Linked DNA regions of Rhinolophus ferrumequinum. The protein of the gene in region 4 purifies or fractionates together with the protein of the main gene of each other region. This does not show direct contact. Links are inferred from orthologs where the notes say so. Each region holds a gene or a part of one and is shown on either strand. Other genes may lie near its edges. The genes, in order: CEP43, PPFIA3, CCT4 and PPP2CA.

Region 1 (7,916 bases), on a different chromosome or scaffold from region 4:
AAAAACAAAAAGGAAAAACGTCCGGATTGTGTGATTCCATTTGCACAGCTTTGAGGAACACTTGGGTGCCAGAGTTGGAGGTGGAGGTGGAGGTATTACCAAGGGGCTGGAAGAAATTTTTGCGGGTCATGGATATGTTCACCATCTTGACTGTGCCATGGGTGCGTAAGTATGTTATAATGTATCAAATTGTACATTTTAAGTATGCTGAGTTTACTGTAGGTCAAGTGTACCTCAATCAAGTTTTAAGAAAACCCAAAAAAGATAAGGGGAAAGATCACAAAGGTCCTCAGTAGGCTGGTCCAGGAAATTTGAAGACATTGGGTCAACTGAAATATTTGAAGAAAACGGAGGGGCAAGATCAAACGTGAGTTAGGACTAGCCAGTCTAGGAGCGATGTGGAGGAAAGACGTCAGGACTACCAGTGAAGGAGAGAAGGCAGGGGTCAAGTGATTTGGAAAGATCAAGCGCAGGCCAGGAGGTCAGCAGAGAACCTCCTCAGACACCTCAGGTACAGAACTGACAGACATGTGGAAAGAAGAGCAAGGGCTCTCGGATTTCCAACTTGGATAAGTGACGGTCCCCGTAGGCAAACAGTGTGACCTACAGTCGGCAGCTCAGGAGGGCGATAAGGCCCAGAGATACAGGGCTGAGTTACTGAGGTGGTCAAGGTCACCCAGGCAGAGAACCCAGACAGGGACTGTGGATACTGCACCAAGAATTCAAGTGCGGTGTCCAGGAAAAGGTCATGCTGCAAAAACCAAGGAATGCACAAAGGAAAAAGAAAGAGAAAAAAGTCCCAAAATTCAAAGATTTTCAGGAAGGAAGAAGGAATTAAGAATGTCAAATGCCACAAAGAGCCACTAAGATAGGTAAGAACATATACTCACTTAGGATTCTTCTTGACAGCAGCAAAAGAAAGTACTAAGGTGTAGCATAAGACGTTAATGGATTAAAAGGTGCCTGGAATATAAATCGTATAAGACATACACATTCTTTCAAAACTTGACAGTGGGGGGAAAAAAGTGGTATTAAAAGCAGAACATGAGACGAGGGCAACAGCTTTCTCCTTGAGATATAAACTTGTTTCCACGCTCAAAAGAGCCAACAAAGAGGGAGGAGCCGAGAGTACCAGCACGGCAAACCCAGAGAAAGTGATGATTCTTGGTGAAGAAAGAGCCTCCGATAGCAAGCAGGAAGGAAAGAAGTGCAGCGTGCAGACGCAGGGTAGCTGGAGGACACACACAGTGAGGGCTTGACGCCTGAGGCTTCTGTTTCCCTGCAAGGGAGAGACAAGACCCGCTGTCAAGATGAAGAAGGGGGTCGGGCAGAAGGCTATGGTGAGGCTGGAGTGGGAGCTGCTACGCAGACAGCAGAGGCCTGGGCCTGACAGGGCCCTGCTCAGGTTGCAACCACCGTTCAGTGACACCAGCAATCCACAGGCTTGGGTGACAAACAAGAAGGGAGTTAGTTTGTTGAATTAAGTGACCAATGAGATTTACCAAGTATAGCGGGAAGGCCAGGCAGTCAGGCTTCTGGAGATCTGGACCATGGGGTCCAGACCAGTCAGGGCCGAACGGCAGCCAAGAGAGGACTGATGCTTGGATGAACACCCAAGAGCCAAGAGCTGAAGAGGTTCATGAGGTTAGAGAGGCACAGGCATCTAGGTCTGAAGAAGTGACAGGAGAGGAGGCTGATTTGTCACAGAACAAGCTGAAGACCTTCATTATGGAGTGCGTATGTGGACAAGGATCCAGGACCTTTACTCAGGGTGGTGGTGAGACTTGCAGTAGGGAGAAAAGACTAAACACTTAAATACAGAGAGGAGGCTGGACTTGTGACAGCAAGAAAGATGACATGATTTTAAAATAACTAGGTGGTCTTGACAGTTTGGGGAAAACCGGCATACTGTGTTTCCCCCAGCTGGTGGGGATTCACAATGCATAGGAAAGGTTCTGAGGAGTCCTGCAGTAAACTCTGAGAATAGAAGCATTTCTTCCACTAGCTCCCATGACCTTGTGTTTCAGATGTCCCCAATACAAGAGGATCTATGACACTTAAGATTCAGATTGGCCTCAGGAGTACTGTGGTTCCTTAACTTTCCTCAGATTGTCCCAAAGTTCTGAAATATACACAAAAAGGTTAATGTTCACTCTATTGTAAAGAAACGTAATCCTTAATAGTTCAAAATGATCCCTGCGTGCCCACGACCACGTGTAGTATTTTACAATGGATTTTAAGTAGAAACGACACAAAAATGAACATAGTCATATTAAAATTCGTAGATTTCATACCTCTACTTTTTCTTGTTCCTCTAGTGCCAAAAACACAGCTGCTCGGAGTTCAGCCTTTAAAAAAAGGGGGGGAGAGTTGGGGGGTAATGGAACAGAAACTGCTTCGAGACAATTTTCAGGACAAGAAAAGCATAGGACGTTCAGTTCCACTGGCACCACCCACACCATCTGAAGTCAAAAACGCACACTGGCAAGACAATGCTTAGTGGGCAGGTGCAAAGAGGCCAGAAAAGCCCCCAGAGGCGTTGGAACAGTGCCCCAAGCTCTCCGCGCCCCTTGGCCTTGTCCCTCCGCAGCCACCCTCCGGATTAGCCCAGCCTACGAGCCCCGACAGGTCTGAGCTGGACTCGCCGAGAAACACCCCGCCAGGCCGGCAGCCCGCCAGTTACAGCGACCCGGAGGGAACCCCGCCACCGCCCGGGACTCGAGGAGCGCCGGGCGACTCAACCGCCCGCAAGCCGCTGCTCGGCCTCCTCTCCCGCAGGCGCCGCGCGGCCCGGGGTCTCCCTGGGAGTGACCCTCGACCCCCGAGGTCGCCCGCCCCCGCCCACGGGCCCGGACCCTGCCCGGGAGGCCAGCCTGACGCACCCCGCGTCCCTTTGTGACGCCAACCGTCCACACATGCTCCACGGCCCGCAGGCGCGGCCGGCCTCCCCTCCGCCAGGCCCTGCCGGCCCGGTCTCCCGCCCCACCTTGATGCGATTCAGGACCCCGCTGTTCTCCAGCGTCTGCACCAGCAGGTCCCGCAGCTCGGTGTCCTCCTCCGCCACCACCGCAGCCGCCGTCGCCGCCATCTTGCTTCTCCAAGACAACCGGCCAAGCCGCGCCAACGGCCAACGGCCGCCGCAGATTTCTCGCGGCGTGCGGCAACGCGAACGAGACCACGCCCCGGCGCCGGTGCGCAGCCCCTCACGCCAGGGGCGGGGCCTCGGAGCGCAACCTGACGCCGGGGGCGGGGCCTAGGGCGGGGCGTCAGGGGCGGGGCTGTGGCATGGATCGGGTAGGGCGGGGCCGGGGTTTGGGGCGGAGCGAGGCCCTGGGTCCTTGGCTTGGGGGCGGGGGGACCCGGGAACTTGGAGTGAGGCAGTGGGATGGGGGCGGGGCCACTTGGTTAAAAGTAAGTTACGTTTCAGACAAGTAAGTTGATAGCACAGCCTTTGTCGTTTCCTTCCCTGCCTTGTCCTGTTTCCCCACTACCCCACCGGTGTTTCTTGGGATCTCCTCCCAAAAAACTGTTTACACTCAATTGTTGTCTCTTGGTCTGCTTCTGGGGCACTCAAACCAAGCCCCTTATCCCAGACTTAGTCATGTAAAGCAGGTCTGTGGGGACAGAGCCAGGAGTGCAGTTTCCAGGCTCTCGGCCTCACGTGGAAAGGTGCTCACTAGGGTAGTAAATGGCCATCAACTGTGATTGGATGGCCGTCAGCTGTGCCTGGTTGGCCGTCAGCTGTAACCAATGAGCAATTGGCCATTAATATAACTGCAGTGGCTACGCTAGCAGCAAATGGGGGCTGGCAAGAAGGTGGTGGCTGAGCTAGCAAGCGTGGATTGCAGTTAGCAAGTGGGGTTGGTTGGTTGACAGAGAAGTGTATGGCAGATTGCGGATAGTGTGGCTCCTGCTTCCTGTGTTTCCAACCCAGCCACCAGCGAGACTATAGTGGTATGACACCCCTATCTATGGCTCCATGGGTGTTCCTTTTAGGCCTCACCACATCCTGCGTTCTTGTGCGGGGAACGGGACAGGAGACCCCCACCTAACACCCTGCACGACCAAGGGACAGGGATGGCTTTTTGGAGGACAGGACACTTGACGTGAGATACACAATCGTAGTGGGGGGTTTACTGATGCCTGAAAAAGAAAGGGGCATTCTGCGCAGACAGAGCCTAACAGCCCAGAGCACCAAGGCCAAGAGGCACAGGGCAGTGTGCTCTGTGCAGGGATGGCAAGTGGGCTGGAGACAGGAAGTCAATGGATCAGCAAGGGCATTAGCCACTGATACTATGAGTTTGACTTTCATCTTGAAGGTGTGAAATAGCAAGCTAAACATGGTTTGAAAAGGAATGTGACATTAGCTCATTTGGGTTTTAGAAGCATCCAGAAGCAAGAGGGGAGGGGTGAGTTGGATGCAGTGACACTGGAGACAGTTGAACAATCCAGGAGCCCAGTGGGGAGAAAGACGGGCCTGGACTCCACTCGAAAAGGAAGGTTAATCGCCTATCAGGAATGCTAAAGAAAATTTGTTGTGTAGATTCTGTCGCTTATCAGGAATTCTACAGAAAATTTACTGTGCAGATTCTATTATTTCATCAGATTTCAAGGAGAAAGAGCTCACTAATTTCTTGGCATATGGAATAGCTGTAAATTCCTTGAACCTATTACCACATGCATGTAATAAAAGAAATAATAAAATTACATTTTTTTTTTTTAAGAAAGGAATGTAAGTTCCTAAAAGTCAGTCGGAGACTGCAGCATACTTCTTCTGTGACACTGTTACTACTCAGTACGGTCGTATGTATACAGAGGACCATCAATGAACAGCTGTCATTTAGCATCTACAATGAGCCATAATTTAAGCTCCATGCAGTAAATCATTAAACTTTATCTGCATGATAACCATGAACATTGTAGATGATGATATGATGAGCCAGCTGAGACTCAGAAAGGTTTGTCTAAGATCAAAAAGTTACTCAGAAAATGATGCAGCTCATTTCCTACGAGTTGAAATACTGAAATCCGGGAAAGAGAGGAACTTTTCCTAATATTCTAAACAATGAAAAGGTAAGTGTTATGTAAGCAGCGTAAACATGCTAAGTAATGAAAAGCGAACCTCCTGCCAGAGTAAAAGGACCTCGTAGGGAGGGTTGGGGGGGGCAGGGTGGGGCTCAGTGAAAGGAACAAGGAGTGAGTGAGTGGGGGCGGGGGTGAGGGAGTGATGGCGGTGGAAGGGACGCTTGATTCTTTTTTTTATTGGAAACACGTGGGATTTTCTTTATTAAATAGTCACACTTGATTCTTATTTGACTTTTTCTAGGTCTGCAACTAGAGCTCCTCTGTCAGCTAAACTACAATTCTCTATTTCATTTCTTTTAGCAGCTTTAGAAGATAACTTTCCAAGTCACTATGGTATTAATTATTTCAATTACTGCTTCATCAAAAGAGTTAATGTACCTCTTTACTCCTGGGGAGTGGCTTATATAATGAGGGAATTTGCCCTAAAATACATGCGTTTTTCCTATCATAAAATTAATAAAGTAAATTAATAAAGCTCTGTCTGAAAACATCCATTTCCTTGAGGAATTTAAGGCTGCAGATGTCGCCATCTATATAGTCGTAAACATGGGACTTTTAATATTGTTGCTTAAAATTTTTAATAATTGAAGGAAAACATACTATTACATTTAAAGAATATCCCAAATAAGCCTTAAATTAAGAAGGAAGAAATGGGAAATGCATCACTGGTTGGCTTGGCAGTTAAGACAGCTATTAACTTATTAATTTTCATATCTCACCAAAATTGATGGTTTAAGGTTAAAACGATGAAAAAAAATGCCCTTAAATGTGATACTAATTATGTGCTTCACATTTAGCTTGTTCTTATTTTTACCAATTTGGTCTCCATATTTTATGTTAGAACATTATAAAGAAGGAACAACTGCACAGTTGACGATTTTATGTTATTTAATTCACTTCCTCATCCCAGCTATTCTACATGATGCTCTTTTTTTCACAGCTTTATTGAGAAATAATTCAAATATATGTTCATCCATTTAAAGTGTACAATGATTTTGGTAGTTACGGAAATGTGTAGCATCATCACATTGTAGTTGTAGGATAGTTACGTGCCCCTAAAAGGAACCCCATACTCACTGGCATTCACTCTGCACCCCACTCCGCAGCCCTAGGCAAACATGACTCTACTTGAGGTCTCTGTAATTTTGCCTATCTGGTCAATTTCTATACACGGAATCATATAACGTGGTCTTTTGTGACCTGCTTCTCTCACGTAGCCTAATGTATTCAAGGTTCATCCATGTTGTAGCCTGTGTCCCTACTGCATTTCCTACCAACGATTAATGTTTTACTACCAATATTGGGTAATAGTCCATTGAATGGATGAACGCCTGTGGGGACAGAGTCCCAGAGAGCAGTTTCCAGGCCCTCGACCTCACGTGGAAAGGTGCTGGCTCGGGTAGTAGAGGCCATCAGCTGTGATCAGATGGCCATCAGCTGTAACCAGTTAGCCATTGGCCACTGATTCAACTGCCGTGGCTATGCTAGCAAGTGCGGATTGCAGCTAGCAAGTGGGGTTAGCAAGCACGGATGGCAGATTGCGGATCCTGTTGATCCTACTTCCTGTGTCTTGCCTGGGCCTGGCTGCCAGTGAGACTGGGGTGCAGGAAGACCCCCTGTTGGGGTACTGGCGGATGTTTACTTTTGTATCTCTACCAGCTGCCATTGAGAATATAGTGGTATGACCCCTATCTGTGGCTCCGTGGGTGTTCCTTTTTGGCCTCACCATATTCTCTGTCCACCTGCCGAGGGCTGGACCAGAGACCCTGTATTACAACGCTGTTTGTTTATTCATCAGATGATGGATATTTGCCTTGTTTCCTAGTTTGGGCTGTCAAGAACAATGCTGCTATGAAAACTCGTATACAAGCTTTTGTGTGAACATATACTTATTCAGCATATTTCAGATTGACACCTAAAATTAAAGACAACTTGCCTTTAAAAAAAAAAAAAAAGAGGAAGGACCTGGACTTATGCTGCAGCGATGGTGCAGAGAAGAGAATGGATCTGAGCTACAAATGTGCTACAGGGACCAACTCTGCAACCAGACTCTGACAGGGAGCGCAGGAGGCCAGAGCAGGGGAAATGCCTTTGACTTCCCAGTCGCACATTTTTGGCCTAGACAGTCCCTGTGTCTTTAACAGTCAAACATAGAAAAGGTGTACTGAACCACGGTGGTAGCCTTTCAGTGTGAACTTAGGAATATCCATGCTTTCTCTCTTGAGGTCAGCCATCCTGTGTGTGTCAGGGTCGGGATAGTTTACATAGAGGTGGAGAATGATTAAGGTGCTCAATGGCCTATGTGTTTCCATAAATGTTTTATAGTTTGTGCAAAAGCCAGCAGCATGCTGGGGAAGGAGAAGAAGCCTGCGTCTCTCCCATTGGAATAGTTATCACACTTACTGAAATTGCTTAGCTCATCATTTGAACAAGGACTTGATACCAGGTTTTGTGTAGCGGTTACAGAAGGAACTTTTGAGCCCCACGACACAGGTTCAAATTCACTTCTGGTGGTGTTGACTGTAGCAAGTTCCTTAATCTCTCTGTGCCCCAGTTTCCCATTTGTAAACGGGGTAAAAATCTCCCCGTGCAGGTAGTTAGAATGATAGAATGATTGCTATACGTAGGTAGAACTGAATGTCTGAAGCACAGAACATACAATAAGTATTAACTGTTAGTAGTTGTTTTGTATGTACAACCTCATTTCATTCTCTCCTTGATGTTTTTTTTTTTGAGTTACTTGTTATTTTGTTGCAACTAATGCTCAGAAAAGTTAGGTAGCTTATCCAGTGACACAGCTGGCAGCTAAGATTAACCACCAAGTCTATTCA
Region 2 (7,685 bases), on a different chromosome or scaffold from region 4:
TGACATCATCCCCCTGCCGGGCTCCGCCTCCCGCCCCAGCCGCCTCACGCTGCTCGCCTATTGGCCGACACGTCTTAAGCCCCTCCTCCCGCTCTCCGCCCGCGCTACCCCTCCCGGCCCGTGCGGAGGCGGGGTTTACCGCCGGCCGGCACCGACGCTGCCTCCCATTGGCCACTAAGAGCCGTCTGTCAGTCTCCTTTTAAAGGGGCCACGACGGCCGGGGAGCTGTGGGGGGGAGGGAGGAGGAAATTTTTTTGGGGGGGAAGGTGGGATTTGGGGGCGCTGGTGGGCACCCCTGGATCTGGCGGCTGCGGCCTCGTGGGGGAAGGCTGAACGGTGACAGGGGTAGGGGGCTGTTTTAGGGGGTAGAGGGCTGTGAGACCGTGAAGGGGAGGGGGTCCCCAGCGCCCAAGCCGGAGCAAGAGACGCGGAGCCCGCGCGAGCGGCGGAGACAGGGCTCCGGAGCTACAGATCCGGGCCCCGGCCGCCGCCAGGGGCCCCGCCCGGTCCCCCCACCCCACCCCACGTCCCTCCTGCAGCCCAGCTCCGCCCGCAGCCGCCGCGGACCAGGCAGGTAAGAGCCCGGCCCGGCCTGCCTGGCAGCGCCCACCCCGGGGACCCCTCGCCGAGTTTTCCCCACATCTCCGAGATCCTAGGTTCCCTTCTTCATACCGGGGGACCTCAGAGCCCAGATTTCACAGCCCAACCCCAGAGAGTCAGGCGTGCCCATCCCGGCTCTCAGAGTCCCCAGCCGAACCCTAGAATCCCAGGCGTACTGCCTCCTTGCGCTTCTTCCAGGGCCCAGGAGCCTGGATTTCAATTCAACCCTGGGAACCCCTCTGGACCTAGATCCTCCTCCTCAGCCCAGTCCCGGGAGCTCCAGACACCCGCCGCGGCTGTGTCACACTCCCTCGGCGAGGGCTAGCCGTCCCCCGTCGCGTCCGCATAGTCCCCCATTCGCGCACCCCGTCTGCCCATCTTCAGCCCTCTGGCTTGAGCAGCCGGCCGCGTCCCTCAGTCCAGGCCGGCTCCGCGGCCGCCCTGGACACAGGCCGGCTCTGGAGCTGTCCATGGTCAGAGTACTCGGCAGCCTCGCTTCCCCCACCTCCTGCTGCCGCCACAGGAGAGGGGGCGCCGGCGGCGCGGGGATCCCCCCCGCAGCGCCTTTGACCCGGGGATACCCGGGCCCTCGCCGACCTGAGTGCCTGGGCCTCAGGGTCCCGCTGGCCAGGCTCTCAGCCTCCTCCTCAGCACCCCAGGTTTCCGGGACCCCAGCACCTTCCTGAGGAGTCAGGGCTTCTGAATGTTCCTGCCCCGTCCACCTTAGGGACCTTGGCATCAGGGTATCCAGATTCCCAGCCTTTGCCCCCTTTAGAGTTCAACAGCCCCTGTGCCCCTCAGACAAATATACCCAGCTTCCTAGGACCCCAGCATCTGCCCCGTTAGGGATTCAGGCGCCATGACTCTCTCCCTTTCAGGGACTCAGGATGCAATTCTTAATGCAATTCTTTGGCATCTGCCCGCCCTTCCCCCTGGAGACCTAAATACCTTGTCCCCAGTCCTGAATCCCCTCAGGCACCCAGGCGTTCAGATCTCAGCTTCTGTACTGGCCACCATCCTTTACCGAGGCCATATGCCCCAGCTCTCCTTCCCAACCCCCTGTCCTTTACCTCCACAAGGATTCAGGAGTCCAGGCCCCCAGTTCTGCCCTCCCCCCACCCACGTATCTAGTTCCTCAGCTCTTAATCTTAGGAACCCAGGTCGCCACGGCCTCACAATCCCTCCATCAACTTGACATTTCTGGTGGCCTTGACAAACCCGTTTCATCCCTATTTCATCTCAGCTGCTGGGCTCCCTGGGACTCTATTCTCTCCCCTCAGACCCGGCTTCTTGAGATCTTTCCAGCACCTCATTGCCTTCTGAGGCCCATATCGTGATGTCCCATCCTCTGAGTACACTCTCTCAGGCTTGAGCCAAACATACATGCCTTCCTCAAAATGTATTCTGTGACCTAGGCTCATTCGATGACCTAGAATCTACCCACTGTCTTCCACATTTCTGGTTAAACATTGTCCTTGCAATGCTCCACATTCTGGATTCTTTCTAGATCCTGAAACACTCTCAGTCAACATCTCGGTTCTGTCCTCACCCAAGGCATGTTTGAAGTTCTAGGTTAGATGGTAAATTCTAGGCATGTCTTTCCCCAAATGAATTCAAATATCTAGATAATCCCCCACCAAGCCAAATTCAAATCCTACCATCTTCTCAGATATGTTCCCAAGTTTTAGTACCAGTCCTTGTTTATTCTCTGCTAAATTTTCGTTTTAGGTGTGTTCTAGGTTCCAGCCACATCCTCGGCATTGTTCTAGACTCCATTCTCTTCCCAGAGGCATTCTAAGTTCTAGAATGTGTATCTTCCAAATATGTGCTGTAGTCTTTCTCCAAATTGTGCTATCAGTTCTAGAATACACTTTCCCACTTTAGGTTCCATTCCGTTCTACAGTCTTAAATCTAGAAGATTCCCATTGAAGTGCTCTACCTTACAACTCCCTTCCTCAGGTCTAGACCCTAGGCCCATCCATTCCCACTTTCTCTGCCCATCTTTTCCTTAGGGTGATGTTAGTTCAGAACTTGTCTCCTGGTGGACTGTGTGCTTCCTCCTCCATCTGCCATTTGAGCATTCTAAGCATGCTCTAAGCTCTCTGCTCTTCTGGAGTCTTCAGCCTAGAAATGTCCTCATTTCCAGAATACCCCACCTCGCTTTTGCCAGCTCAGTCCTTATAACAGTAAATTTTCAATTCCCAGCATGCATCTTTCTGCATCTTCCCCCAGGCATGTCTGAGTTCCAGGCAAACTCCTTGATACTTTCTAGGTTTTTCTTCGCCTCCAAGGCATGTTTTGAATTCTAGAGAACATCTTCTGCATTCTGAGTTCTAACATTATCTAGACACATGATTAAACCAAGGATGCAACCTTTGCTATATTCTGTGTTATATTTTCATCCGTAGTAGGTTCTGAGTTCTAGATTGTCTCCTGACTTGGCTCATTGAGCATTTCATTAGGTATGTTCTTAAATATAATTCTGGGGTCACCCAGATGCTCTTTAAGTTATTGATTGTTCTTGGCTGGTTCAATGTTCCAGACCTGGGTTCTAGAATATGCCCTATGTGCAGCTTTTACCCCAAGCACATTGTAAATGTGGAAGCGTATGTCCTTTTTCCACTCTGTACTGTGTCTACATGCCAGTGGCTTTCTAGATTTTTGCCCTGCCTTGTTGTGTTTTGTTTCCTTCTCAGTGAATTTGAAGTTCTAGAGCAGCCTCCCAAAAGAGCCTGTGTTGCATCTCCTGAGTAGGTTCTGGGTTTTAGATACAATGTTGTTGTGGGAACTACAGCTGGCCTGCTCTCTTCTAAACATTTTCCTGAATCTGGCCTCTGAGTGTTAGGATTCAGGTATCTAGATTCCCAAATGCACCTGTTCAAAGACCCAAGGGACACAGCTGCCTCCTCTCCCAGGTCCTGGGGCCCTCAGTCCCCTCCTCTCCTCACAGGAGTCCAAGGCTCCAGTCCCAGGCTCTGGACACAGTCCACACATTGGGTGGGGCTGGGAATTATCTACTCTCAGAACCGGTTATGCTGCTGCCAGAAGGGAGAGACGGAAAGGAGGGAACAGCGTGAAAGCCCCTCCTGCTTTCGGCTGGGCCAGCTGGACCTGTCTGACTTGATGTGTGCAAGGGAGCGGCTCAGGGCACCTCACTTCATCTCTGTCCACAGCTCGTGTATGCAGACTCCTGGGTCCTGGAGTCCTGGACTCCTGGGTTCTGGGACAGGAGAGGTCTGAAGTCTGGGATTTCTAGGTCTACAGTTAGAGGTTGAAAGCCCAGACTCATGTCCCCGGGGGAGGAGGGAGTGTGGTCTCGAGACTCCTGGGATTGGGAAGGAGGGGGCTGGAGGCTCAGACTCCTGAGTCTGGGAGAAGAAGGGGACTCCAGGACCTAGAATTCTGTGACCCGAGGAAGGAGGAACTGGATCCTCCTGGACACCTGGGTCATAGGAGATGGCTAAAATGCCCTGATCCGACCACGCTTCCCTCCACCCCCTGCAAGTGGAGTGGGTCTTTAGATTCTTCTGGAACTGAGGTCCAGATGAGAAATGGAAGGAGGGAGGAGTTGGGCTGGAGAGCAGGTAACCGCGTGCCAGTGACCTAATTCCGTAATCCCAGTCCTGTGTCCTCCTGTAGTCATGGTTCTCCGCTGGGGCTCAGTTTTCTCATTCATGCAGTGGGTTGATTCTCAGCAGGGCCAAAACAGGTAGAGACTAATTTTTCCACATTCACTCAGGCAATGCCTGGATCATCCGGTTTCGGTTTCTTGGACTAGGCTGGGCCTAGATTTGTTGCCAGTGCCTGATGGAGTCTGACCTCGGTTTCCCCAAATGCTCTCACACAGGTAGCCAGGCCTAGTTTCCTGAAAGCAAAGGGTTTCAGTTTATCCTGTGCCATGATCAGAATGGACAGGCCTTAGTTTCGTCTGCGCAATGCCAGGGTGGACCTGCTTCAGTTTCCTCTAAGTAATATCACAGTGGTCGTGCCGCATTTTCTCTGCCTGTCCCTTGACAAGGCCGGTCTCTGTTCCCTGCCCCTTCCCCGCACCTGCAGGCCAGCACCGCCGCCATGATGTGCGAGGTGATGCCCACCATCAGCGAGGATGGCCGGCGGGGCTCTGCGCTGGGCCCGGACGAAACGGGCGGCGAGCTGGAGCGCCTCATGGTCACGATGCTCACGGAGCGCGAGCGCCTGCTGGAGACGCTGCGCGAGGCGCAGGATGGGCTGGCTACAGCGCAGCTGCGGCTGCGCGAGCTGGGCCACGAGAAGGACTCGCTGCAGCGCCAGCTCAGCATCGCGCTGCCCCAGGTCTGGGCGGGGCCGGGGCCGGGGCGGGGCCTGCGGCAGGCGGGGTCTCGACAAGAAGGCCGTTCGGAGGGGCGGGACTTGGCGCGGAAGGGCGGAGTCGGGGAGGCTGGCTTTGCCGATGACGGGCGGGGTCTGAGCTGCTAGAGGGGGCGGGGTTTAGTCGAGAGGGCGGGGCCTTCAAACTCCCAGTCCTGGGCAGTGAGGGAGATAGGGGGAGGATTGATCTGATTGTCCCTATCCTGTTCACATCTGGACAGGAGTTTGCGGCTCTGACGAAGGAGCTGAATTTATGTCGGGAGCAGCTGCTGGAGCGGGAGGAAGAGATTGCAGAGCTGAAAGCGGAGAGGAACAACACGAGGGTGAGGGGTGTTGGGGTCGGGGCCTAAGTGGGGTGGGCGGGGCCTCAGGTGATGCAGCCTGATCCATCTTTTTTCCGCATCTCACCTTCTTGTCTTCTCCTCCTTGTCCCCACTTCTTGGTTGATCCCTTCTGGTCTCCTCCTTCCTTCATGTCCTCTTCCCTCTCTCCTCCATAACGGTCTCTTTTCCTATACCACTCTACTCCTTCCTTGACCCCACCGGTACCTCTGATATCCCTGTTTTCTTGACCTGTTTCGCTCTTTACCCCTTTGCTTGGCTCCCCCTCTTTCTCCATGTGTCCGCCCCTCCTGTCGGAACCACCTTTTTCTTCTACCCTGCTTCTCTTCCCTTGCCTCTTTTCTTTGGCCTGGTGCCCTATCTCTGTAGCTTCTCTTGGAACACCTGGAGTGTCTGGTGTCCAGGCACGAGAGGTCACTACGCATGACCGTGGTGAAACGCCAAGCCCAGTCCCCTGGCGGGGTCTCTTCCGAGGTGGAGGTGCTCAAGGCTCTAAAGTCCCTCTTCGAGCACCACAAGGCCCTGGATGAGAAGGTATGAGAATGGAAGAGCCTGGGTGAAGAATGGAAACCCGTGGGTTGTTGGTGCTGTCCTGAATTGGAGAGAGTCTGGCTGTGATTGGTTGGGGATGTCCTAAGTGGGAAGAATGTTGCCTGTGATTGACTGGGACAGGCTATGCAGACTGGGACTTTACTGGTTGATAATGGAAAAATTAACTAGGATGGGGGCTACAAGTGGGTGGGGCAGCTTTGGTAGCGGGTTGGGGCTGCACATCCATTATGGATAGAAGAATCCTAACGTTGCACTATCAGGCCCTTCCAAGAGTGTTCTGCATCATTGTCAGCTGTCCTAGATTGGATTTGATCTCCATCTCATTCCTGTTCTGCCCCATTCCCAGGTCCGGGAGCGGCTGCGGATGGCACTGGAGCGGGTGGCAGTGCTAGAGGAGGAGTTGGAGCTGAGCAACCAGGAGGTGGGACATGGCCAAGAAAGGGAGGGAGGGAGGGTCTAAGGAGTTCCCAATGAGGTGGAGCTGATTTGGGGTTCCAGAATCTGTTGGAGGCAGAACTAGAGCAAAAGGCCAATAGAGTTGGACTATGAAGAGAACCAGTGGGGTCCCTAAGGAGGAACTCACTGGGCAGGGCCAAGAGGAGAACTGCCCATTGAAAGTGAGTTTAAAGTGAGAACCATGGGCCGGGGATAACAGAAAGAACCCACTCCGAAGGAAATGGTTGGATGGGGAAAGTCAGGATAGAAGAGGACATCTCCACCAGGAGGCTAAGTGCAAGAGTAAGGCTGGGCACGCTTCCTGTTAGGCAGGTAAGGAGAGATATAAGGAGAGCACAGGGTCTAAGGGTAGACTGTAGGGTGGGGGTGGCCCCAGCAGGACTGGAAGTGTCTATGACCTCTCCTTAGAGAGCTGGTGCCAATGGGAAATAGAACTAATTTTCCTTTTGTCCTGATATCCCTTTTTCATTCCCAGACTCTGAGCCTTCGAGAGCAGCTGTCTAGACGCCGGTCAGGGCTGGAGGAGCCTGGCAAGGATGGGGACGGACAGGTAAGAAGTGAAAATCCTTTGTTCCCCTTGCTCTTCATTGATCCCCATCCTTGTGACCTCCACTCAGCCCTCTAACTTTGTGATGGTCATTTTAATTTTGATATTATCCTCACAGACCTTAGAATATCTGAACTCCTAAGACCTTACTGGCCTTTGACCTTTGATTCAGGTCCCTGATTAACTTCTGTGACCTCCATGACCCTTACTGATCTGTGATTCACTCTCCACCCCCATCAACTTTCTCCTTGCATTCCCTCTATACCTCTGTGTTTACCCCTTCTGTGTTCTGTCCCTTTCTTTCCCACTGTCTCCACTCCAGACCCTTGCCAATGGCCTGGGTCCTGGCGGGGATTCTAACCGGCGCACAGCGGAGCTGGAGGAGGCCCTGGAGCGGCAGCGTGCAGAGGTGTGCCAGCTGCGGGAGCGCCTGGCGGTGTTGTGCCGCCAGATGAGCCAGCTGGAGGAGGAGCTGGGCACCGCCCACCGGGAGCTGGGTAAGGCGGAGGAAGCTAACGCCAAGCTCCAGCGCGACCTCAAGGAGGTGAGGCCAGGGCCCCTAGTGGGCTGCTGTCGGTACCCCTCTGCCCCCATCCTCCCCTGCCCCTTTGGCCAAAGTCACAGAGCTCATGAATGGTGGAAGCTGCATTTAGTCCACAAACTATAGATTCTTCTCTCCTCTCTGAGCCTGTTTCCTCACCTGTAAAATGGGACTTGTGATCTTTGTCAGAGGGTGGCATGTGGCACATACATGATAGGCATTCATAAGTGATCATAGTTATGTTATCATTGAGAAATTCTCTTGTGCCTCTAAATTGAATTCCTTTGTCTGCATTTCAACC
Region 3 (8,140 bases), on a different chromosome or scaffold from region 4:
AATCTACTGGAAACAGAATAATTTACTCCTTTAATTGTATGACACATATTTCACGTTTTGGTTAAAGTCACTATACACAGCATTCATGCTCTGCCTCTGGCAGAATAAACTCTTGAGGATTTATCTAATTTTCCTTTAAATATCAAAATGATACAGTCTAGCTCTGATTGTGGACTCTAGTCTTTTCTCCATTCTTTAAAATAAGACAAGCAACAATAGGACAGGCTAGCCCTCTTACTATATAATTAACTTGTTTACTCTGTCTCCCTAACTATAGAGTATAATTTCTTAGGGCAAAGACTTTTGTTCACTAATGTGAAGCTGATATGTAGATCGCCCACAGTAAGAAACAACCTTTGATCCTCACCTGCAAAAAATAAAAAACCCAAATGTTAACAAAAAAAAAAAACAAAACTAAAATCATAGCTTTCAGTCATTTATCAGTATGTTATGAAACATCTCTGGATATAGTCTACCATTCCAAAGTTACTTATTCTTATTATCTGACCATGAAAATGTTTCTACTTCATTTTCATTAGTCCACTGACTACTAAATGTTTCAATGGTCCACTTACTACTTTTTAAGAGAAACTAGAATTGATGAACAGTACTTGACCCCTTTTCTTTGACAAGTCCAGGACAAATAATTAAATCTTCCCCTTTCTCACATAACCATCTCATTCCATATACACAGGGGTGAGATTGTGCCCTAATCGTTTTTGTGTGCTCCACAAACTAGCATAATGATTTTCCCCATATTGTGTGGTCGATGATATATAATCTTACAGAGCTAAAGAGAAAATATTTGGTAAAACTTAAAAATTGTTTCCTACTTATTTCACAGTTAGGGGCTGTTCCTAATTACCCAATCAATATTATTACCCTTGCAGGCAATTTTAGTGGACCCCCATGGCCATGATTCTACAAGCACACTAATATACTTTAAAAACGCCCTTATATTCATCTATATGTAAACTCTAGATACACCATCCAAAACAAAAGATTTTAGACTGCTTACATCTCTGAAAGTGGCACATAGTATATTGTCTGTTGAACGATTCATACTGAACAGTACTAGAACTACTACTATTTTGTGTGTGTGGTTTTTCACATCATCAATTAATGGTACTATTAACTTTTCTGGTAACACCCAAATAAAAAACTGGTTCCCCAAATTAAACTAACTATGCACATGGCAGCAGTTTTTCTCCATCAGTTTGTAGGGTTTTGTCTAACTTGGAAAGACTAGTTGTGTCCCTTTGCTCTATGAGCTCTGCTTACTTAAAAAGGTCAGGATTATAAGTAATTTAGGTGGCCTCTTCTTCCTACATGCATACCTCCCTTGTTCCAGTTTCAACTCTCTGTTCACTGCTGTTTCAAAGGTTACCAAAGTAAACCTTCCATTCTGTACCTTCCTTGTTTGTTGAAAATCTACCGTATTATATAGCTACCAAAATCTACCATATTATATAGCTATTTTGGCCCTCCAGAATTTATCTAACATCTTATTTCTAATGTGATATATCTAAGCTTCCACTATGTTTCCTAGATAACCATCTACCAAATCTTTACTAGCGGATATGTTCTCTCCTGAACTTGCAAATGACTCCTAAATCTACCCATCTGGTCATTCTGATCTCTCCAACTCATTAGGCCCAAATTAGAAACTATTCTCTTTTATTCCACCGTCATTTCTCCAGTGTACAGTAAGTCCTGACTTAATGTCATTGATAGGCTCCTGGAACTCTGGCCAAGAGACATAAAACCAATTTTACCACAGGCTAATTGAGAAAAACAAGTGTTAAGTTCCTAGGGCATCTTATCAACAATATAAAGAAACCACATTGAACAAAGACATTATTTGAGGACCTGCTGTATATGTATTTCTTTGGCATCATCATACCTTCAGTCACTTGGGCTGATAATCTCAAATGTTTGTAAGGCTGTATTTTATATATGCAGCTTTTCATATGCTTTTTTATTTAATCATCACAGAAACCCTGCAAATTAGCTATTACCTCATTCTACTGAAGAATGATCTGTAGCTGTGAGAGTTATGCCAAATCCTGTCCTGGACACCAGGCCCTACAAGATTGGACCCACCTTACCCTTCCAATCTCATCTGTCACTTCTTCATGCACCTTACTCTCTAACCCAAATGAAATACTCACCGTACTCAATACACATCAGAGACAAGATCTCGAAGCCTTTTCCTTCCAGACTCTAACTCAACTCGATTTCTCTTAATCCTCACAACTCTCAAAAAAAATAACAAACGTTTTCCTCCTCGATTTATAGTACAGGTAAGGACACCTTGGTTAGAAGTTAATGGTCACAGGCCAGTAAGCAATGGTAACAGAGAATGAAACTCGGGGTCTTGATTTCCACCAATGCCAAAGTGTTCTACAAAAAAAAAACCAAAACAGCAAACTGTCCATGTTTCTTGATTTGCTTGTGTTTGGTTGCACATGCAGCGGGCATAAAATGTATCGTCCCACCATTACTCTTAAACAAGACGGGTCTGTTCCCCACAACCGAAAACAGAGGGTCCCTCCCCAACTTAAGCATGAAGAGTATACCCAATTTGTTTCAATAGTTGTGCCGTGCTTGGCTTATTTTAGTGATATTTTTATAAGACCAAGAAAACTGTAAAGTCTTGTGCAAACGTTTTACCAGTGGAACCAGCAAGATAAGCGACAGCTCTAAACTGTCAGAACCCAAGGGACCGCGGCATGCGGGCCTTGGCTGCTGATGTGTGATGAGTGAGCGAGGGTGAAAAATTCTGAGCGTTTAAGACCCGGAGTAAGTCCACAGGCCTCCATACTCGGGGCCAGGAATTATCGGCAGAAAACAATAAGGTTCCCTCCACAGAGATGCTTCTACTGAAGGGCAGACAAGAGACGATCATCTGACGGAATAAAAAATGAGCCACGCCAACCCAGTAACAGGGTGAGAGCGCACAGCTCGACCCCGCAGGGTCGCGGGTCAGACCCGGGGAGCGATACCTTTGGCGGCAGAGATGTTGCTGAAGCGGATCTGGGCCGGCTTATCGCGGTCCTGATAGGCGCTTCTGCTGCGGCCGCCAGCAGCCCCGGCGGGCGCCCCGCCGCGAGGTGCCACGTTCTCGGGCATGGCAAGTTGGGCTGGGTCTGCGTGGGCTCCGGGAGGACGGATGGATGCGGATTCCGCCTGGCTTCGGAGTAACGGTTCGGGACCGACGATTTCACGAACCTTCCAGAAAGCAGCGCCGGCTCCGCGCGGAGGAGGCGGAGAAGGGGGCCTGCCTTGCGGCGCGGTGCCGGAATGACGTAGCAGGCTGCCCGCCGCGCGCCGGGTAAGGGGACTGAGCCGGGGAACTCGGGGTTCGCAAGGGATGGTGGCCCCGGGCGCTCGGGGTCCAGGGTCGGCACCGGGGTGGGGCGGACTCTTCCGAGGCAGATCGGACAACCCGCTATTTTAAAGGCGGGTTTCGGGACACCCACATCTCCCACTTCCTGGTCCTCGGCTGTGAGGTCCCTTGCGTTAACTCGAACTAAACGTGATTGCGGGGTGTGGTACGCTGCGTGTTCCTCCCGACCGCGTGGGGCTAAACCGCTGGCTGTTGCCCGTCCTCATGTACCTGTATCATACTCAGTTTTATTCATTTTGCAAGGGAATCAGGAGAGAGATTTGGGATGGGTGGTTTCTTTGCTTTAAGTGTTGGGGTTGTTTCCTGTTGATTGATACCGAGTTTGAATACACCCTCGTTAAATAGTAGAGAATTTTAAAAGTTTTAGAGCTATGATTGCCTGCCGAATCAGGACTGCCTCACTAGTTAGTACAATGCCCTCGCCTTAACACTATTTTATTCTAAATGACGTAGTCACTGGCTTTTAGAGAGCCTAAGTATTTTAATAATGATCATTCAGTTCAGCGCAGTGCTAAACCCTTGACACGTTTTAGCTCATTTAATCCTCACAAAAATATGAAATAGGTGCCCTTACCTTTTTCATAGTAGAGAAGACAACTGAAGGTCTTTGATTCCTTTTGTTCTTCCCTCTCTTCCCTCATGCAAAGCCTTTTTTTTTTAAATTTATTGGGGTGATAATTGTTAGTAAAATTACATAGATTTCAGGTGTACAATTCTGTATTACATCATCTATAAATCCCATTGTGTGTTCACCACCCAGAGTCAGTTCTCCTTCCATCACCATGTATTTGTCATCCAAAGCCTTCTAATTTTACCTCCTTTATATCAAGAATCCGTCTCATATTCTCTGTCCTTTAGATACCATAGCCTTAGATCAGACCCACGTCATTTGATTACTGTGACAGTCTAACTTTGGCCTCCCCTGCTCCTCCAGTTCCTTTGGCACACTGCTACCACAAAGGAATCTTAGAAACTCAAATCTGATGTTCTTACTCCCCTGCTTAAAACCCTTCAGTAACTCCTCAACGACCAAATATGAAAATTTGCATTATGTGTAAACTCTCCCTCTCTATGTATGACCCAAGCCCTGTTAATCTTTTCAGGTTTATAACCCTAGGCTCCTATTTCCATTCTTGCTACTGCAGGGCAGGAAAATATCTTTTTCCTTTTATCCTTCTAGGTTCTTGGCTGGGGCTCTGTAACAAAAGACATTATTAACAAGAAGAAAGCATACTGATTTGTTTAATAGAAGTTCTATGTGCCATTTGAACCTTAATAAGGAAATGAACACCTGAAAAAGTGATTAAATCTGAATTTTTTTTTTACTATATTTGATGAAGAGTGGAAAGTTGTGGGAAAATGTGGACAAAAGGCTGTGAGCTGAAGGTAATAAACTGGGGAAACAGCAAGGCTTGTTCAATTTAGATTCCTCTGGGCCTCCCACCGTCTTTGGAGACAGGAATGCTCTGGGAGGACACTTCACATGAGGGTCTTACCTGCTTCAGGTGAAAAGAGGGGCGTGGCAGTGTTCTTGTACCTATCGTTTCTCAAGTTCTGTTTCTCATATTTCTTCAAATATTCAACATGCCACAGGGTAGTGTGTCCTGAACCCCGTCCTTATACTATGGGTCTCACCACTCTTGTTTTATGCCTTTATACGTAGGGACATGCTGTTTCCCCTGCAACATGTCCAGCTGTTTGTTGGTTTGCAATCTGAGGAGCTTCCTGAGTGAAATCTGAAACCAGCACCGCACCCCTCTTCCCACAATCAGAGCAGAGAGAGACTGAAGAAAGAGGCAAACCACTCCAGATAGGTAGGTGGCAGTTTTAGTAAGCAAGGAAACTTATTTTTGCGCTTGTCTTGGGTCCTCACAAGATGAGTAGATCTTTGCACCTGCCCACCAGAATCTTAAAGTTTATATAGAAGCCTTAACTGGGCTCAGTCATGTATATCACCCAGGTGTTCTCAACATCTTAATCTCATGGCTGTGTCCTTGGATCTGCTCCTACTGTGGGAATGGTGGGCAAGGACATACTTGCTAAGGACAGGGGAAGGGGCTGAGGAGCCTCTGATTGCCTGGGTCCAGCTTGCAGGGTAACCAATGGTCATGTCCTCTCAAATTACCTCTTCCAACACGTCACCATTAGGCTTCTCCTTGACTTACTGAAGCTGAGTTAATGTTTTTCTTCCACCACCAAATCTGATATTAGTTATTTCTAAGTACTAAGTAGTAACAATCTTAGTTCATTGTATTTTAATAATTTGTTTATATAGAGGAGGAAAAAAGAATTTTCCCTCTACCCTTTTGAGTTCTTGTCTGGGACCCCCCTATAACAAAAGACTGATTAATGAGAAAAACAAACAAATTTATTAACATGTATACCCCATGTATACATGTGAGATACCCAGGGAAAAAGGAGTAACTCAAAACAGTGATTTAGAACTCCAATTTATGTACCATCTTCAGCCAAGGATGGAAGATAGGTGTCAGAAAGGCTAGTTATGGGGAGATAACCAGAAAAAGCAAGGTAAACAAGAGTAAGGTTTGTTATGCAGTTTTAAATTGGTATCTTTTTCATTAATAAGGGTTTAATGTTGTCTCCTGGGATTAACTTTTTTCTGTGGTAGACAGAGGAAGAGGGACACATTTTGAAAATTTATGTCCTGCTTTTAGGGCAAGCAGGGCCTGGAGCTTTTCTTGTATTTGTTTCTTCTCAGTTGCCTTCAGCTCAAAATAATCCTTATGCCAAATTGGCATATTTTAGGGTGGCATTTTCTGCTACCTTTCATTTGCATATAATTTTCCCTTACCAGAATGTAAGATTTTAGGGCACAGTGTCATATTCATTTCTGTATCCCCTGGAGCCTAGCAGAATGGCCCAAAACTCCCGACTAATATCTGTTAAGGAGCTGCTTGAGTGGAGAGTGAATGGTACTTAAAGTAGAATTGGAAAAGGTGGAGTAGAAATAGGGAACAGGGAGAATGTATTGCAAAACTTTGGGGCGCCTGTGTTTGCAAATTATTTCGGTACACATTTTAAGTTTTAGTGCTTTCAGAGATGGGGAACCTTATAAAAATACCTATTGCTGGCCTGGGAACAAATAGCTTGTGAGCCATGAAAGGGTAGTTGAATCGGGGAAGGTACCAGTTGTTTAATGGAACTTGAGAATGGAAACCTATTTGGCAAGAATGAAAAGGAAACCTGTTTACCGGGAGGGCTGCTATTGGGTGCTTGTAGTTTCTTCTTGAGCCAAGGCTTCAGGATGTTTTCTTTGCTTAAGCAATCCTTTCAATAGGCCTAGGCCCAGGTTTGTTGTCTGTGAAACAGGTTGTGTTTTGAGATTTAATAAAGTAAAGCTTTGTGCTTTGAGCCCCTTGTTTCAAAGGCATTGTAAAAATGCGGCTGGTACCAACCTTGAACATTTGCATTGGCAGTAGCAGCCCCTGGTGGCACAGGATGATTTTCTTTCATTGAACACCTCCGTGTTTTGGAACTTGCTGTAGGCTCAGGCAGGCAGTGATATGTGCATGTATTACATACATTGGAATAGGAGTTAAACAGTGGTAGTGATGTACAGATTGCTCCCCTGCTTTTAAAAGAGTAATCTATTTCTGTTGAGGATTAATTAGAGCTGCTCAAATGCTGAGAGGGAGTTCTTAGGCAAATGGAAAACTAGGAGGTTTATAGAAAGACTTCAGAAGGGTAAATTCATGCCTAGATATTGCAGGGTACATTTGGTGTATATTTGTGTTTTGAGGGGAAAGTAACTGAAGCTTCAATCAGATTCTGAAAGCTTCTATCAGATTCTGAAAATGTTATCAAAACGTTTAGGAAACACTATGTAAGGTGCCTAGCTCTTTTCAGTCATGTAGAACACATATGTTCCTTTAAAGCTTTTCATTAAAAGAAGTTTGATTTTAGGATAACTATCTTATCTTTTCATTACCTAACTTTTTATTACAATAGTATTACATGTACACTGTAGATATTTAGAAAAATCAGGTAAGCAGAAAGAAGAAAATATAAACCATCCTCAATTACTCAGAGGCATACTCTATAACCATGTTGGTGAATAACCTTTCAGACTTTTTCTATGCAGGTTGATAGATTCAACTATATAAACCCAAGGAAAATATTGCAATATAGGTGACAAACAATATTCCAAATGTATAAAGAGCTCTTAGAAATCGCTGAAGTGACTGAAAGCCCTGTAGAAAATTGTCAAGAAAATAGGTAAAAAATACAAGCAGTCAATAAATATATACATATAAAAGGATTCACTCTTAAAATGTAAGAAATACAAATTAAAACAATAAGATAATGTTTCTCATGTATCAGATGGCAAAGATTATAAAGAATAATACCAGTCAGTGTTAATAAGATTTCATGGAAATAAATGAATACAGCCTTTCTGGTGGGTAATTTGGAAGTCATGTGTTTAATAATGCTGTTTCCACTTATAACCCTTTTATTTTTCCATTACATCGACCATTCTCTGCAACTACTGTGGGCACACTGAACACAATGCATAGTTTATCTCAGATTCGCTTTTGGAGCCATAAAAGTATCTTTGAATTTGCCTTTTAGAAAATTAATTCCTTTAGGGAAAGAAGTGTGTTACATCTTTTCTATGATAAAGAATGCCTCTTGACTTCAGGCAAATACTGGATAAACATTAACTAAAGCAGTCTAGAGCATTGATTCTTTACAAAGTGGCACTACTTTGAA
Region 4 (7,510 bases):
GTTGATAAAATAAAAACCATGGTCACCCTTGTCTGTAAGTACACACTTGGATTCCCTGCATTTTGAACATTTACCCGTTAATTGTTGATGAACCACCACAATAGTGGCCTCTGCATTTTTTAATCACAATGACCTCTTATGCTTCAATCATTACTGTTTAAATATTTCATTCAGATCAGGCATTTTCAGGTATACAGAAGGAAGGTTTTAAAATCTTCCTTCTTTCTCATAATCAAAGAAATTATCAATTATTACCAAATAGCTATTTCCAACCAGTACCTTTTCTTTTAAAAAAGAACTATTGTACTAATGAAAAAAAAATTTCCCATCGAGATTTTCAAAATATGTAGCTTTCACCAGATGTGTTACTGACCATACAAATATTAACAGTGAAAAGAGAACTTTTGTTTTACTAGAAAGACTTGTAGAAAAGATAATTTCAAGTCATGTATGCTAACTCATCCCACATACCTAAAAAACTGCCTTCAAATTAATTTAGTTTGGGAGATTAATACCAAAAGTTGAAATATTCATGAGTTAAAAAAAGTATGAAGGCTGTGTGATATCCCCCCCAAAAGGATCCATTTCTTGGAAACCTAACTTCCAATCTTACTTCCATCTTTTTGGCTCTAAAAACTGAAATCCAGACACGCTGGATTAACAATGGAGATCCAAGAATAAATTGATTAATCTCACTACATCTTAATTTTTCAAAGACGTGGAAAACAATGAACATTTTTACCAGATGCACCAAGCTTCAGCCAATCCAAATTACCATGCAATATTATCTTCTATAGTCTCCAATACAAACCCTCTACACTACTGTGGTCCATCTACTGGTCTCCAACTAGATTCAGGCTCCTTGAGAAAATTATTCTGTGCTGCTTTCCATTCCCCTCATAAGAGTAAGCAACCTTGGATTTCAATACAAACACAAAGTACAAATTTAAAATGGAATTGTATAATTTCAGATTAGAAGAGACCCTGGAACAGATTTCTGTTTTAACTCTATTATTATAGACAAGAAAATGTGGACCAAGTGAAGTGGTTGCTCCAAGGTCAATTACTGTGGCAGAATTCTAGTGTACAGGTGGAACTTGCAGTCAGTCTTCCAATTACATCATTACTTCTCTTCCAATATTTTCTACACAAATGACTAGTCACCTACCCAACGAATGACTCAAAGTCTTCATGTAAAGCACCTAAGACCTAATAATATACACTGAATAATTTTTTAAAGCCTATTTCTGAACCTTTAAAATAAACACTATCCTCATTTGACACAGTAGAATTAAGGGTCAAGAAGCACAAGACTCAACATATTGCTACCATTACAACGAAGCTTTAATAGATAATGTGCCACCTCATCAACTAGGCGAGTTTTGTTCAGGCTTGGGATAAATAAATGTGAGTTTGAGTCACATTGCAATCTACAGTATAGTTTCCGAAAAAGCCTGTTTTAGGAGCATATACACCAAACCCATGAACCTAATTTTCACATCTAACCACAAACGAGTCAGCATAGTTGCTAATAACTCTCTTTACTAATACAAAATTCTAATACGATATCCCACAATCCTGTACTAAAAATTAAATGCTTCCAAGTTAATTTTGAAAACGGAAATTAAAATGGACTTATTAAATGGACTACAAGATTCCATTTTCAACACGGGAGATAAATTATTTAAACACTAAGCACAAAGTCTCGGATACAGGAAAGGCTCAATAGACAGCTATTATTATTAATACTATTACTACTTAAAGCCACAAAAATACAAACGAGTAACTTTTCCAAGGAAGAGCCAGGATACAAAATTTGCTGGTTTTGTTGCATTTAAAAAATAAATGGCAAAATGCCAAGCTTAGAGAAGGGTTTCACACTACCCAACTTGAGTCAGCATATAAATCAGAGACTAAACTGACACTTGATTTCCAATCCCCAAACTCCTTAGGCAGTATGTATGACTCACCAAATTCTCCATTTCTTCCAACTATGAAAAATAAGTTCTACTCCTCCCTATATTTTACCATGACCTTCGTAGACATTAGGTTAGAGGTTTATTTTTAAATTCTTAAGAAACACGCTTTAAAAAAAGTCTCTGGAAAAGACTGCTCAGTGTGTTTAGCCCCAACCACCCAGGATAGTACTAATGCTGTATGACCTTTAGACAGGTCCTGGGATCTGGCCTACAAGCTTGCTTGCCTTTTGGGGGATCCTCTAGATAGTTTTGGAGCTGAAAATTCGTCCCGAACACAAGTAAAAGGCCTCTTAGCCACCTCACAGTAGAGTCTCAAGCCCCATTCCCAGGCCGTAGAACCCAAGTCCTCTTACTCGGCTCTCAAAACCGTCCCCAACCCTGACACACAGGGTCTCAGTTCCCACAGCACCCCGCCCGACACCTAGGCCGGGAGGCTCCGAAGCCCCGGAGTTGGGTGAACGGCGCCATTTTAGGCGGCAGTGGCGGCGACATCCAATCCCTGCGCGGGAGGCAGGGGGCGCCGGGTCGCCCGGGAATCGCCGCGGGGCCGCACCAAGCCGGACGCAGGTCTGGGAGGCTCAGGGGGCCCGGGCCGGCGGCCTCCGCCATGTTGCACCCTTCCCACGGCCGCCTCTTTCCTGGCGGGCTCAACCGCGGCCGCTCCCGCAGCCGAAGTGCAGCTCACCTTCTCGCAGAGGCTCTTGACCTGGGACTCGGAGAGCTGCTTGCACTCGTTCAGCTGCTCGATCCACTGGTCCAGCTCCTTGGTGAACACCTTCTCGTCCATGATGCCACCCGCCCGAACCGGCTGCCGCTCCGCGCTACTCCCGCGCCGCCGCCCGCACACGGGCCACACGCACACGCCGCCGCCGGTTCCCGGGGTACTTGTGTGGCTACTGGAGGTTGCTCGGCGTTAGCGCTAGCTTGTTTGCTCGCCCCGCAGTGCTCAGCCACCGGCCGCTACCCTCCTCCGCTCGCTCTAGCACCGGAGCTCAGCTCTCTGTAATGGCGGCCGCCGGCGTGGTGACGTCACGCCCGGCGTCAGGAGGCGGCGGGGTGCGGAGGGGTAGCAGAGAGACCGAACGAGCTGCGCAACTGCAGAGCCAACGCTAGTCGGCCGCCAGACCGGAGTCGGGGCGGGACCAGGGCCCAAGACGCAGGCGCAATGGAGCCGGCTAGTAACAGGCACCTTCGCTTTTAGGGCGTGGTCCTCCAGAAGGGTGAGGTCCGGGGGAAGGGAGACCGAGTCCCAGCAAGCGCGGGGCTCGCAGCCTGGAACTGGGCTAATCCCAGAGCACGGTGTCCTACGCGGTGTGGGCGCGAACCTGGCGCAGGCGCAGTCCTGGCGCAGGCGCAGTCCAGACGGGAGCAGAACTCCCAGCTGCCAGAGACTTTTTCCCAAAGGTGCTGCCTTGCGGCTCTTCACCCGGCGACGGCGACCAGTTCACGGAAATGAGAATTGCGACCCCACAATTCCTCCATGGTGCAACAGCGCTGAAATTGCATAGGATTCTGGCATCTGTGACGGCGGGAAAGGGCGCCGAGTGGTAGCCCAGTTGGATGCCACCTCCGTCTCTGGGTGGCACCTTGTAATTAGGTCACTAGTAGGCGGAGGAGGGTGTACCTCCCGGGGGGAGTGCCACACGTGCATCTGACTCCCGCGGCACACACCCGTCTCGGGCCTAGGTGTCTCGTCGGGCGCGATGGCAGGGCCGAGGCTTGGGCTTCTCTCTCGACCTTGGACCTCACCTACTTTCCACACGCCCTTTGCAGCCTCGCCCGTTGTCGCCTTCCGCCACAGGTGTGCGCCCCTCCTCAGAGTCCGGTTTCTCCTGGGAATGAGAGACACTCTCCCCGTCTCTAGACACACACACACACACACACACACACACACACACACACAACACAACTGCACGCCCTAGTCTGCTTTCTAGAGGAAGGCGATAAGGAGATATCTGGACGCATAGGTCCTGACGGCAAGTGGTGGTGTTAGAAACAGCTACGATCTGTGCTTTAAAGTATTCTTGGATACTTTGCGGTCCGACTTTGGTCTGGCTATGGATCTCCTTGAGGTTTGCCATATGTTTTCACATTCCATTGTTCCTGCACTCACAGAAATACCAGGGGTGCTTAAAAAGTGTATTCATGACTTGTATTTATCTTTTGTTATTGGTATATATTATTTATAATTTTAATAGTTTTTTTCTTTCTTAAAATGTGTATACTTTTTTTTGGCACCCTCTATATTTGGCTCCGTAAAGGGCTAGCTATATGCTAGATCCCACGCCTAAGAGAGGAGTCCATGCCCTGGTGGAACTTGTATTCTCCCAACAATACTCTTAAAATGGTCTGCAGATAGATAGAAGAGAGATTACGGTGTCCACAGGATCTGAGCGAAGCTTAGCAAAGGACATTTAACCTTACAGCCCAAGGCAAGCGTTGACCCTGGTGTCCTGTCTTCCAGACTTCCTATCCCCAATAGCAGTGGACCCTGTTCCACCCAAGTGCTCAATGATGTCCTGGAGGAGGGAGCTCACTGCAGCTCTGAAGGAGAAGGCCCTAGAAGCCCAGACCAACCAATGGAGGGACTGAAAATTTTCCGTCAGCAAAGACGACCTGCCTGGCCAGGCTGACTGGCTTAGCCTTCCCAGGCTGCAAATTGCAATTCTGCTTTCCTTTTGTACCTCCCAGGAGTATGTATGCCCAAGAAAGTACCTTAGATCTACTCTCCAAAGGCTTATAATATAGTTAATTTACTAGACTGGGAAGTGTTCTGTTCGCTGAAAATCTGGCCACGTTTTGTAGTTAGTGTCCCTAAATAATAGAGGAGTAAGAGTTAATACCATGTAGAATGAATGAGGAAAAAAGTCATCACTCGGTGCCCACGATTATAAAGCCAGGTCCAGTGGGCTATCTTATTCTTCAGGTTGTCCTGTACCTTTGTGAGAACTGGTTCTGTCTCATAGGGCAAGAAGCAGACAGGCACTCAGAAAAGAGAAAGGACTTGCCCAAAGTAGTCATCAGGATTTAAATCTTCATATTCTCAAGTGCAAGATCTCAGCCTCGCTCACACAAGGATTGAAATATGGAATAGGGTCAATATGATTTCCTTTACCTGAGTTCTTTTATCTACAAAGGTGGAGGTGATGTGACTTTGGTATATTAAAAACTATTGAGCACCTTCTATGTACTAAGATTGTAATGAGTGGGTTTTTCCAAGGTGCTGTGAGCTCCTTGCTGCTCGCATTAATGTAGGTATTATTTATTTTCTCTTGATGCCGATTACTTGGTTTACTACCATCACAAAATGGAGAGAAGACATAATTATATATACTTAAAACATCCTGCCAAATAATCAGATGCCATGACTTCTTAAGCAATGAATTCTAGGAAGCCTTACTAGCATTCAAGCAGTGAAGTAAAGCATACATGATTATAAACAACATAGAACTAAATCAGAATGTCTTTTCCTTTAGAAGAAATCTAGAATGTTTTCTGATTCTGTGGAACTCAAAACAGCTAATGGATCTGAAAATTCAGTGTGATTAGTCTGGTCTTGACTAATTGGACCTGACCGTCTCAATTCTAGAGCTGAGGAATACTTGGAACAAAAAGTTAAACCAAAAAAAATTTTCCTTTTAATTTCTTGGCAAAAACCAGAGAGTGAATGAAGCAACTATGCTTTGAGAAAGAGTCTTTGCTCAGATGGCAAGTTCAGTATACAGCGAGTCGCCTATGATGTTCAAACATAGCTCTAAATAAAAATCATCTGATGGGGTGGGGTGGGAAGAAGATAAACTTGAGCAAATAACTTTATAATAGGCGCTCTAAGCCAACAGATTAAAATTAACATTAAACATGATGAAGGAATGCGATGTATCTTATCAGCCATTCTCTCTCGGTCTTCTGTTAGGTTTGTTTTGTTCCTTCCAGTTCCCTGAATTCTAAACTTACTGAGACAGAAGGGAGAACTGTGTAGGTAAGAAGCCGCTCTGGAATCAGATCGACCTGGTTTGAATTCTGGTTCTGCAACTGCCTCAGTGTGTGAAGTTTGGCAAGTTACCTAACTTTTCTGAGTCTCAGTTTTCTCATCTATAAAGTGGGGATAATTGTAACAGCCAAATAATAGGATTCTTCTGAGAATTCAATGAAGTTATAAATGTAAAACACCATATGGTATATAATAAATGTCCAGTAGGTATTAGGTAATATTCTTTTTATTTCTAAGTGGTCTCTGATTCTAAATATCCTAATGCCAGTTAGAGCCCCTTGATGCCTGCCATGAAATACGTAGTGGTTTTTGGAAACAGAAAGTAACGGTATCAAAAACATCATATAGACACAAAGCCATTGGGTGAAGTAGAAATGAGGGAGGAAATTCAAACAAAGAGAAGTAGAGGTAGATAAAAAAGAAAACCCCTCTCTTCCCTTGCCATCAAGCAAACATTTAGAAGGCTTATTATGTAGAGAGAAAATCACTGAGGAATAAATGCAAGAATTAATACAGCTCGTCGGTTTTATGCTCCTGTCAGCTCAGAATCTGTATCTGAAAGGGTGCCATATCTGCTAACATGCTCTTCGCATCTAGGCCTTCTATGCCTCAGACGTCCCAAAATAAAGACCTGAGCAATCAACATTTTAGTGGCTTGGCCCATGAGAAACCTGCCCTAATCTGGCCAACTAGACCTGCTTAACTACCAGAAGATTTCTGCACTCAGGATACACGATGGTGTTTGCAACTCATTGATATCTATCCCTGTTGCTCTCTGTTGGGATTTTCAGAAAAATTCAACTTTTTTGTCCTTTCACCTGGAATTAGAACTTTATAAGTGTGGCCAAAATTTTGTGGCCAGGAACTTGCCATAGACATACTACAGCCCTTTCCCCTAGCGACTGCAGTTTAAAGAAAAAGAGAAATGACCACGTCCCCTGCTAATGTCCTTGACATCCAGATACCATTCTCAGTTACAGAGGAAATATTTTTCTCTACTACAGGAAAAAAAACACAAAACTCTCTGGAATGGAAGGCAAAGTTCATCATTCCAGAAGGCTAGGTAAACCTTAAAAATACTGTCACCAACTTTGCACCTATCCAAAATCTTACCATAGAAGTATATTTAGTGACAATATTATTCACAGTATATTATTAAGTGAAAAAAAGTCCCTTGTCAAACAGCATGTGTGCTATAATCCTAATTTTATTAAATATGTATTATAAATATATGTTTATGAGAGGTATTAAACGTCAGTTGCTTCTGGCGAGTGGGATTGGTTTTTTATTTTCTTTTTAGTTACTTGATTCATCTGTAATGAAAACATACTGCTTTTATAATCGTGAAAAGAAAATCTTCAGAATGTCTGAGTAAACGTGACCAAGTACCTCTTAAGGGAATCACAGGCCCAAAGCACACGCAGCCAACAGTTCTGTTCAGTGTTCCACTACTCTCTGGAATATTACGCAAGGGCCCCACTTTCTTGTGAAAAGAAGTTTCACCTCTCCTGTGGCCTTCTCACATGGCCTCCTCACAAAG

The links.
Region 1: the proteins of PPP2CA (region 4) and CEP43 purify together in Homo sapiens (affinity purification with mass spectrometry; 3 studies listed by BioGRID and IntAct, with this or other methods). This does not show direct contact. The link is inferred for Rhinolophus ferrumequinum from reciprocal best matches to the Homo sapiens genes PPP2CA and CEP43.
Region 2: the proteins of PPP2CA (region 4) and PPFIA3 purify together in Homo sapiens (affinity purification with mass spectrometry; 4 studies listed by BioGRID and IntAct, with this or other methods). This does not show direct contact. The link is inferred for Rhinolophus ferrumequinum from reciprocal best matches to the Homo sapiens genes PPP2CA and PPFIA3.
Region 3: the proteins of PPP2CA (region 4) and CCT4 purify together in Homo sapiens (affinity purification with mass spectrometry; 4 studies listed by BioGRID and IntAct, with this or other methods). This does not show direct contact. The link is inferred for Rhinolophus ferrumequinum from reciprocal best matches to the Homo sapiens genes PPP2CA and CCT4.

Annotation. Positions count from the first base shown.
Region 1 is NW_022680354.1:1,061,697-1,069,612, reverse strand, and holds the start of CEP43 (centrosomal protein 43), read right to left. Parts: upstream 3,194-7,916; 5' UTR 3,089-3,193; coding exon 2,987-3,088; intron 2,349-2,986; coding exon 2,295-2,348; intron 1-2,294. UniProt on the Homo sapiens protein: Required for anchoring microtubules to the centrosomes. Required for ciliation.
Region 2 is NC_046298.1:44,416,059-44,423,743, forward strand, and holds the start of PPFIA3 (liprin-alpha-3), read left to right. Parts: upstream 1-4,638; 5' UTR 4,639-4,671; coding exon 4,672-4,911; intron 4,912-5,168; coding exon 5,169-5,270; intron 5,271-5,657; coding exon 5,658-5,822; intron 5,823-6,186; coding exon 6,187-6,261; intron 6,262-6,771; coding exon 6,772-6,846; intron 6,847-7,165; coding exon 7,166-7,387; intron 7,388-7,685. UniProt on the Homo sapiens protein: May regulate the disassembly of focal adhesions. May localize receptor-like tyrosine phosphatases type 2A at specific sites on the plasma membrane, possibly regulating their interaction with the extracellular environment and their association with substrates.
Region 3 is NC_046296.1:27,349,765-27,357,904, reverse strand, and holds the start of CCT4 (T-complex protein 1 subunit delta), read right to left. Parts: upstream 3,288-8,140; 5' UTR 3,133-3,287; coding exon 3,006-3,132; intron 1-3,005. UniProt on the Homo sapiens protein: Component of the chaperonin-containing T-complex (TRiC), a molecular chaperone complex that assists the folding of actin, tubulin and other proteins upon ATP hydrolysis.
Region 4 is NC_046307.1:10,228,563-10,236,072, forward strand, and holds the start of PPP2CA (serine/threonine-protein phosphatase 2A catalytic subunit alpha isoform), read right to left. Parts: upstream 3,227-7,510; 5' UTR 2,767-3,226; coding exon 2,665-2,766; intron 1-2,664. UniProt on the Homo sapiens protein: Catalytic subunit of protein phosphatase 2A (PP2A), a serine/threonine phosphatase involved in the regulation of a wide variety of enzymes, signal transduction pathways, and cellular events.